Linked DNA regions of Ovis aries. The protein of the gene in region 2 interacts with the protein of the main gene of each other region in a biochemical or structural test. Links are inferred from orthologs where the notes say so. Each region holds a gene or a part of one and is shown on either strand. Other genes may lie near its edges.

Region 1 (4,511 bases), on a different chromosome or scaffold from region 2:
CTCTGCTGTTCTACTCTTGGAATATGGCTTCCTTGCTGTTCCTTGAACAAACACATCATTCTCCTGCTCCAGGGCCTTTGCACTACCTGCTCCTTCTGCTTGGGGCTCTTTTCTCCAAGATATTTGCATGGCACATTCCTTCATCTCCTTTATGCCTTTGCTTACAGCTCACTGTCCAAGTGAGGCTTCTTCAATATCCTGCAAACCAGCTTCCCATCCCAGGATCTCTTGTCCCTCTAGGCGTGTTCTATTTTTGTTTTTAGCCATAGCACTTATTCTAACATACTACACACCAGATTTGTGCATACTGCATCCTCTTTCTAGAAGAGAAGCTCCATGAGGGTAGAAATGCTTTTATTGTGCTCACTGCTATATCCCCAGTACTTAGAACAATGCCTAGCAGACGCAATGTGCTCAGCAAATATTTGCTGAATTAATGTTTTACATGGCTTGCCAGTAAGAAAAACTGATAACCCCAGGTCAACGCACTATGTTTACCCTATGGTTCTGAGTATTCCTGGAGCTCTGATCCACGGTGGGAGGCAGTTATAAATCAGCTTGAGAAGCCTGGAAACAGAGAGCTATTTAGAGGGGAATGACGTAGTGGAGTTCTACATTTCAATCAGTCCACTCTAGCTCTGGGGGATGGATCTGGGGAGGATAAGGCTCTGAATTATGAGTCCCTTCCTAAATATGAGAAATATTTAGGAGACAAGAGGGAAAGATTCAATGATTGGTTGGATTTTGGGGGGGGATGGTGGGAATCTGACTGACCTTTAGGTTATGGGGTTGGGGAAACTGAACAGATAACACAGTGAGTGATGGAGACAGCATAAAGAATTCCTCTTGGGAATGGATCTGTAAGGATGAGTCTCTCCCCCTTAGCTCAACATTCACTTCAGCAGTCCTTTGATAAATAACTAAAGTGATTATGGTAAAAGGCTCAACAGCGGCTACAGAGCAGCCAAATATAAACAAAAAGAATTCTATGGATCATTGCTTTGTTTCTATTTGTCAGAGGTATTGAGCTGGCCCTTAACCAGGCAGAGTCCCTCCTAAAGAAAAAGGAAGGAATGTCTTTTCACCGGTTACAAGTCAGTTCTGTCTCTGAAGACACACACATACCACCATTTCTGTAAGCACAACCAGTGGTCTGGTTTCTTTGGAAAATAACTTAGGAATTGGGCAGTTTTAAAAGGACCCTATCTGGCCTTCCCTGGTGGCTCAGAGGTAAAGAATCTGCCTGCCAATGCAGCAGTCACTGGTTCGATCCCTGATCTGGGAAGAGATCCCGCACGCAGCAGAGCAACTGAGCCCCCAGCGCCACAGTAATTGAGGCTGTGTTCTAAAGCCTGGAACCCGCAACTGCCGAGTCCACGTGCTCCAACTACCGAAGCCCCTGCGTCCTAGAGCCCATGCTCCCCCAAAGAGAAGTCTCTGCAACTGGAGAAAAGCCGGGGCAACAAGGAAGACCCAGCACGGACAAAAATAAATAAATAAATTTAAATTACAATTTCTTTAGAAGGGCCCCACCCCATGCTAAATAACCCTAAACAAAGGTCTACCGACAAAATAACCGGTCAATTTAATCCACCATTGACTGGGCTTGTATTTTACCCTCAAACCTTACCTGGAAAGTTCTCTCGGTTTAGCTTAGGTCTGCGGACAATCACAAAGTCCTTGTCATTTCCTTTGCTTTTCAGCCGTTTTCGTGGGGGACTCTGTGGGTGGCCCAGGTTTGAAAGCAGTTCCTGGGGGATGTTCTCACTGTCCACCTCCTCCTTCTCCAGGGCGGAGACCCCCATGCCTGAAAGCAGTTCAGAAGTCTTGCTAGAATCCCATCCCCACGTGAAACTGGTGGTAACGTTGCTACTCTGGTCGGGTATCTCCTGGAGGTGTTTCCTGCAGAAACGCACAATAGCCCCACGTTCCTTTCAAAAACACGCCCGTAAATAATTCCCAGACAGGCCTAAAGGAAGCTGCAAGCTATGCACCGCAGAAAGCTTTCACAGCAGTTAACTGAACTGCATTTTTACGTGCCGGCGGCGAGTCCCCAAGAATAAAAGAGAAAATAACCGAACACATCGAAAAGGCTTTTCGATTTCCGATCATGCAGAAGGCCTCAAGAATTTCTTAAAAGTGGAGGGAACATACAAGGAAAGAGGCAGGGCAATCACACACTGATTGAAAACAGCAGCAGGAAAGCCCAATAAGGGAAGACAAATAACATCCACGCTGACCACCGCACTAAAGCATCCACCCATCCACGTTTTCCCAAAGAGGCTAAGCAGCCATTCACATTACAGCATTACTAACAATATTAGCCAAGTAGCAAAACACGCGGCCTAAAAGAATTAAGACGGTCCATTCATGTTCTGTCTCCTTCTGCAATCGGTTTACCTGTGCATGGCGTCCGCAGGTTCGGGAGTTTTAAATGCGTGCATTAATTGCAGAGGTGCCCGCCCCCCGAATTCCCGCTTTGGCGCGCGGCGGCGCACTGCGTGCGGCGCACTGCGTGCGGCCCCGGCTTGCTGCAGCGAAACCCGCGAACTCTATCAACGTTCCATCCCAGCAGCGCGCGCAGAATTCTCCAGCCAGCCGGCTCTCCTCCGCAGCCGTCGTCTGCGGCCCCGCTGCCTGCTGGGAATTGTAGTTTCTGCCCAGCCTGGTAGTCCGGCTGCCTCGCCACTACTTCCTTTCCTTGCAGCTTTGCCGCCTTCGAGATACCCACAACCCCGCGCGGCTGCGGGACCGGACGACCCACAGGGTAGGCGGGGAAGCGGAAGTGGGCGGTGCTCCGGCTAACTGGGGAAATGTCAGCTGCTTGACTGGGGTTCGGGTTTCCTTTCTCGGGACCCCCCGACCTTTTGGTGACTGCCGCCGCTGTCGCCAAGGAGTGTGGGTCCCAAACCCTGTAAGGCTGTGGCGGCCGCGGGGTTTCCAGGCCCTTCTGGACGCTGTCCGGCGAGATCGGACGGTGAGCCCGAGGAGGAGAGCGTGAGGCACTTTGAGGTGTGGGGCCGAGCGCGGACTGAGGGGGGCCCCGGAGACCCCGAGAGGCCGCCGTCGCGGGGCCTACGTCCCAGGTAGCTGAGTGGAGGCCGTGGCACGCCCTGCCGGCCAGGTGAGAGGCTGCGGCCGTGGGCGTCACACCTGCTCCCCTCTCTGCCTGGAGCTGCGTACTCCACCCGGGTGAGGGCGGCCCTAAGGACTAGGTCTGTGGACAGGATCCTTTCCTTACGTGTAAAATAGGCACCACGGCAAGAACGCTCGTTTCACAGTCGCCGTCAAATCAGAGGAGGCTCGTGAGAGCGTTTTGTAAACGAAAGCGCGGTTCAAACGTCAGGCGGAGGTTTAATTTTAGGGGAGCAGGAGATTGCTGTGAGTGCCAGGGGAAAGCTCAGCATCTCCGGCAGCCTTGAGAAGTCTCATAAATGCTAGCATGAGAACAAATAAGGTGACTATTGTTTGCAAAAGGCTTTCCGTGCCACGCTAGCGGCCACCAGCAAAACCATTCGATTACTGTCTCAAAAAAAAAAAAAAAAAAAATTCTGTTTGCCTCACGTCCTAAAAGTCAGCTGCTTGCTTTTAGACTATATCCACGGAGAAAAGTTTGGAGATGGTTAGAGAGTGCCATTTTCTGGGTAGGATGACCGTGCGAAATCCATTGTGCAAATGTTCTATAACTGCGAGCCTGGGAAAACAGTGGAAGAGAGAGGGGGAATAACTTCCAACCCTAGTAAAAATGGAGAGGATTTATAAAGTTCAGAAAGAAGCACCCAGCGTCATCACAAAAATACTAGAATATCACTTAAGCATGCTGTGTGGCATACCTTCTTATTTCTTAAAAAAAAAAATTCAATTTACACTGGAGTTAAACCTCCCCCTCTTGAATATCAGCTTGTTTCAGGCTTGGTGCATAGCTTGAAATGGAACCACCTCTTGACAGAGGAGGGCGTTCGTGATCCTTTAGTAGTTGACTCTTGAAACTAGATAAAACTGGGGTAAAGAATGGATCTGCTCACTGATTGATTCTAGTTGAAACTAGATGAAGAATACTAAGCTGAATGTTCACAATTCATTAAGCTAATGTTACATGGAAAATATTTTTAAATTCAGTGTTCTATTTTTTACATAAAGTTATCTTCATGATATTGTGGCTAAGGAGAAAGCAGTAGCCTGCTTGAAGTCTACATCCTTTCTCTTAAAATTGCCAGTCTAGGTTCGATGCAGGATACAGGATGCGTGGGGCTGGTGCACTGGGATGACCCAGAGAGATGGTATGGGGAGGGAGGTGGGAGGAGGGGTTCAGGACTGGGAACTCATGTACACCCGTGCCGGGTTCATGTTGATGTATGGCAAAACCAATACAGTATTGTAAAGTAAAATAAAACAAAATGTCAAACAAAAAAAATGCAATTCAGAGGAAATATTTAGTCTTCTTCAGGAAATTGAACAAGACAGAGGGAGCTTATAAACTAATGGAGGAGAAGAAATAAAAAAAATTTTAA
Region 2 (4,511 bases):
ATCTCTAACATGTACCAGAAACCTGGTTGATTCTCCTGGGGGACGATCTAGAATCATCCCGCTGAATATCTCACCACAAGAACAAGAGAATCATAAGATGCCCCATTCTTTCTCCACTCCCAATCCTCCCTCCTCAGAGCAGCACGAGACATTCCAGACCCTCTCACCACCCCCACCCCTTGCTCCCGTCACGAGGCCCCAATCCCCAGAGCCCTTTCATGTGATGCTCAGCTGAGACCCCTCTGCCTATCTCTTCCAGCCCCAGAACAAAAGCCTGGGCTGTGTTCACCCATGCCCATCCCAAAGAGGGGATGAGGTGCCTCTTTACCCTTCTATCCAAACACCACATTCGCTTTCTCCTCACTTTAAATACCCTATCCCAAGTGCTTAAGACAAAGCCTAAATGAGTTTCCACTCATTTTACTACCTTGGCACCCATGTTCCAGCTCACTATTCAGAGCATCTCAAAATTAGGGCCACAGAGACATACTGTTCTCTCACCCGTCCAGGTAGATGGGGTTGTTTTCAGGTTCAGTCCCAAGTGCCTGAACACATATGCACCCAAATCTTCATGTGGGGAGGGAGCTCAGTTGCCCATGTCCTCACTAAATCAAATGGATGAGAAACACCTGAAGCACTGCTGCTATCTTCCACTTTAGGGAGAGAAAAACCAGAGCAGGTGTGTAACCCTAAACTCACACTTGTTCATGTCCACACATCCCACACTCACCTTCTGTGGCCCCTACAGCCAGAAGAACACCCATCAGAGCCACATGGAGAAGGTATTTTCTCAGCACCAGATCCATCCTGTTCTTCCTTCCAGCAACCAAAGACTCTGGGGCATTGGACAAACCCCTGTATAAGAAGGGGGTGCTTATTTGCATAGCCCTTCCTCCCCTCCCTCCAGGCAAATCCTGGGAGGAGCAGAAGGATCTGAGAGACAGAACAGAGGAGGGATCCTGGTCCCTGGACATCATGCTACTCATTGACAGTTTCTGGCTTCACAGGGTCAGTCTCATCTTAAAGTACTCCATCTCCCCTCGCGGGGAAAAAATGACTGAAGGGCAGCTACAAAACATAACACGTACCGGACGCACAGGGTTCATCATTGGAGAGTGGATCAATCTATTGTGAGTCAAACCAGGAACCTCTCAAAATAACTGTAGAAGCAGCGACCCTGGGTCCAAAAACAGACAGTATTGGGGTAGGCTGAGAGAAGTGGGACAACGACTCTTCGGAGCCCTAGGAAACCCTTACAATGAGATTTCCAGTTTCCTGCTTTCAGAGGAGGCTCCAGGGCGAGGTGGAATTTAATACATATTTTCCTTAGGGTGGTGAAAACGGTGATTAGAGATCAGGAAATCCCTATAGACTCAGGACACAGAGAGAAAACTCGATCCCAAATCAGATACTTGGAAAAAGGTGTTCAGCCTCCCCATCCAGATAAAAATTTATCCTTAATACTCCTCGGAACCAAAGTTACTCGGGGTGGGGTCGTTTGCAGCGAGGGACACAGGGCTGGCCCCGCCCTCTCTGACGTAGACCAATAGGAAGATCTGAGGGAGGAGCCAGGGAAACGCGGGAAGGAGAGGCGGGGCTTCTGGTGGCGGTAGGGAACTAGAGGGGGGAGGCGGCAATATTGTTTCAAGTTGGACAAATTGACAAGAGCGAGAGATACACTACGTTCCATCCCGACCTCGGGTCGCGGTGCTGGGCCCTGTTTCCCTCCTCGGCCCCCGAGAGCTGGGTGCCGTTTTTTGCAGGTTCCCAGGCCCCAGCTCCAGGGCCGGGCTGACCCGACTCGCTAGCGCTTCATGGAGAACTTCCAAAAAGTGGAAAAGATCGGAGAGGGCACGTACGGAGTTGTGTACAAAGCCAAAAACAAGTTGACGGGAGAAGTGGTGGCGCTTAAAAAAATCCGCCTGGACACGTGAGTGGCCTCTGTACCCGGGAGTCCTGACTCGGGAGCTCCTTGAGTGCCCCCCACCCCCACCGCAACAGGCGGGTAGCCTTCCAGGGACCGGAAGGTAGCAGGGAGGGAAGTCTTTTGAAGTGGAGAGGTGGGTTGAAGGACGAGTAGAGGGTTTCCCGGTGGAGACTATAGGATAGTGTAGAATCCATGGGAAATTTCCTCCCCAGAGGCGGGCGATGTCCCCAAATGTACAGTCAGAAAGTGTCAGGAAGAGGAAGGAGCCTTTTGAGATGGGATCCAGGACTCCCCGACGAGGAGATGGGTTTTGTGATAAGTGGTAAAGAGCACCCTTATAAATGACTAGACCAGCCCTCAGTGCCCCAACCCCACCCGCATCTTAGAATTCTCTCTTTCAAAAGAATGGCAGTTGAACCTTACTGGCACCTCTAGAGAGGCTGGGTGTTGTTACTTCCACACACACACACTTTTCCCCCTTTTAACTTCACCAAGAGGCTTTGCTAACCCAGCCCTGGGCAAAGAAGATATGATGATCTTAATGGGTCTAAAAAGACACTCCTGTCCATCCATGATTTAACCACTGAAGCACCCTTTCTCTCACTTAATTAGGGGATGCTGGGTTGGTGGGGGCTGTGGGTGGGGTGGGGGGAATGACTGTACTGCTGAGGGAAAAGAAATATTTGTAACCACATTCCCATCTCTGCTTTCTCAACTTCTCCAAGTGAGACAGAGGGTGTACCCAGTACTGCCATACGAGAGATCTCTCTGCTTAAGGAGCTTAATCACCCTAATATTGTCAAGTAAGTATGTATCTGGGAGGTGGGAGGTGCTCTGACAGTAAAGGAGAATGTCTTCTGTTTGTATTGTCTGGGCCTTTCTCTCCCTCACGTGTATTCCTGGACCTCCCCCTTCCCTAGGCTGCTGGATGTCATTCACACAGAAAACAAACTCTACCTTGTTTTTGAGTTTCTGCACCAGGATCTCAAGAAATTCATGGATGCCTCTGCACTCACTGGCATTCCTCTTCCGCTCATAAAGGTACTCCTTCTCATCAACTCCTCCCCAACATGGGCATGTTTTGGGAGTCCGGACTGAAAGCAGGCAATCCGGACTGAGTGTTGATTTATCTTGGTTTCCTTCCCAGCCCTCACCCCCCTACACACACACACGCACACACCTTTTCTTGTGGCTCTTTCACTGCTCATTATGCTTTTAACCCTAGGGCTGGGCAGGGGAATCAAAGAAGTTGAAACTCTAGTAAGTCAACTTAGCAGCTCAGGTGGAAGGTTCTTGAGATGAAACTCGGATAAATGGGACTGGGGGGTACTTGGTAGATGCCTCCAGAAAGCCCTTCCACCTGTTTGGTGGGAGAAATAGCCAGTGAGTCTCTGTTGTCCATTTTTCTGGGTTCCTTACTCCGGAAGCTACTTTCGATCAACCAACAAACATCCAACACACATTTATTGAACACTTTCAATGTGCTGGTCCACGCTATGGAACATAAATGCAAAACTGAATGAGACCTGATCTTATCCTCAATGGGTTGACAGTCCAACTGGAGAAATAGCTTGAAAACATAATTACAATTTAACTAGTAAAGGCTTTAGTAGAACTTTGGAGTTACAGAGGAGACCCTAATCTGCTCACGGTGGTGGAAAAACAGAGTCTTTTCTTTCCCCTTGTCAGAGCTACTTGTTCCAGCTGCTCCAGGGCCTAGCTTTCTGCCACTCTCATCGGGTCCTGCACCGAGACCTTAAACCTCAGAATCTGCTTATCAACGCAGATGGGTCCATCAAGCTAGCAGACTTCGGACTAGCCAGAGCTTTTGGGGTCCCTGTTCGTACTTATACCCACGAGGTGAGTCCTCCTCTGCATGTCTTCTCTGAACTTCCTGGGAGGTGTTAACAAGGACATTCATAGAGTTTTTAGTAACGATCTGGCCAGCAGTTTCTCACTAGATGGAAAGTATTTCTGACACCACAAGAGGTCTTAGAGTATGCACAGAATTCATATATTGATAGATACCGAGCCAGGAGACAGGTGGAAGGCATGAAATTTAAAATTATGACCATTTGCCTCAAGTTTTCCAAGAAGGTTGCAAATTGAGGGTTCAGAATATATGTTCCCCAGAACCATGGATTAGGCTAACTCTGGGCTAAGAAGTTGTACCCAGTTATTTTACTTAGGGGCAATGAGAGTAAAGGGAAGGATGGAGGGATAGAAGTTGCTTGTGAAGAAATTGAGTTAGCAGAATAGTGTTTAGAAACTGACGTGTGGATATCTTCATGTCCTGTACTCTTTTCCTCAGGTGGTGACTCTGTGGTACCGAGCACCGGAAATCCTTCTGGGCTGCAAATACTACTCCACAGCAGTGGACATATGGAGCCTCGGTTGCATCTTTGCTGAGATGGTATGGAGGCATGCCCATGGTCTACTCAGCCCACTCCTTCCCACACTCAAGAACAACAGAACTGTTTCTTGGCCCAGACCCATGGTCCTTCTCTTATCACAGGGTTCTTCCTTTAGAGTAGCACAAAGGGGGTCATGGAGAAAGGAGAGGGCTGTCATCCCTGATGTCAAC

The links.
Region 1: the proteins of CDK2 (region 2) and SKP2 form a complex in vitro, tested with the Homo sapiens proteins (3 studies listed by BioGRID, with this or other methods). The link is inferred for Ovis aries from reciprocal best matches to the Homo sapiens genes CDK2 and SKP2.

What each region holds. Positions count from the first base shown.
Region 1 is NC_056069.1:38,233,826-38,238,336, forward strand, and holds the start of SKP2 (S-phase kinase-associated protein 2), read right to left. Parts: upstream 2,625-4,511; 5' UTR 2,445-2,624; coding exon 2,401-2,444; exon of another isoform or gene 2,317-2,400; intron 1,903-2,316; coding exon 1,631-1,902; intron 1-1,630. UniProt on the Homo sapiens protein: Substrate recognition component of a SCF (SKP1-CUL1-F-box protein) E3 ubiquitin-protein ligase complex which mediates the ubiquitination and subsequent proteasomal degradation of target proteins involved in cell cycle progression, signal transduction and transcription.
Region 2 is NC_056056.1:163,556,675-163,561,185, reverse strand, and holds the start of CDK2 (cyclin-dependent kinase 2), read left to right. Parts: upstream 1-1,693; 5' UTR 1,694-1,814; coding exon 1,815-1,930; intron 1,931-2,652; coding exon 2,653-2,730; intron 2,731-2,847; coding exon 2,848-2,968; intron 2,969-3,616; coding exon 3,617-3,787; intron 3,788-4,238; coding exon 4,239-4,340; intron 4,341-4,511. Other genes in the region: melanocyte protein PMEL, read right to left, coding at 731-806. UniProt on the Homo sapiens protein: Serine/threonine-protein kinase involved in the control of the cell cycle; essential for meiosis, but dispensable for mitosis. Phosphorylates CABLES1, CTNNB1, CDK2AP2, ERCC6, NBN, USP37, p53/TP53, NPM1, CDK7, RB1, BRCA2, MYC, NPAT, EZH2.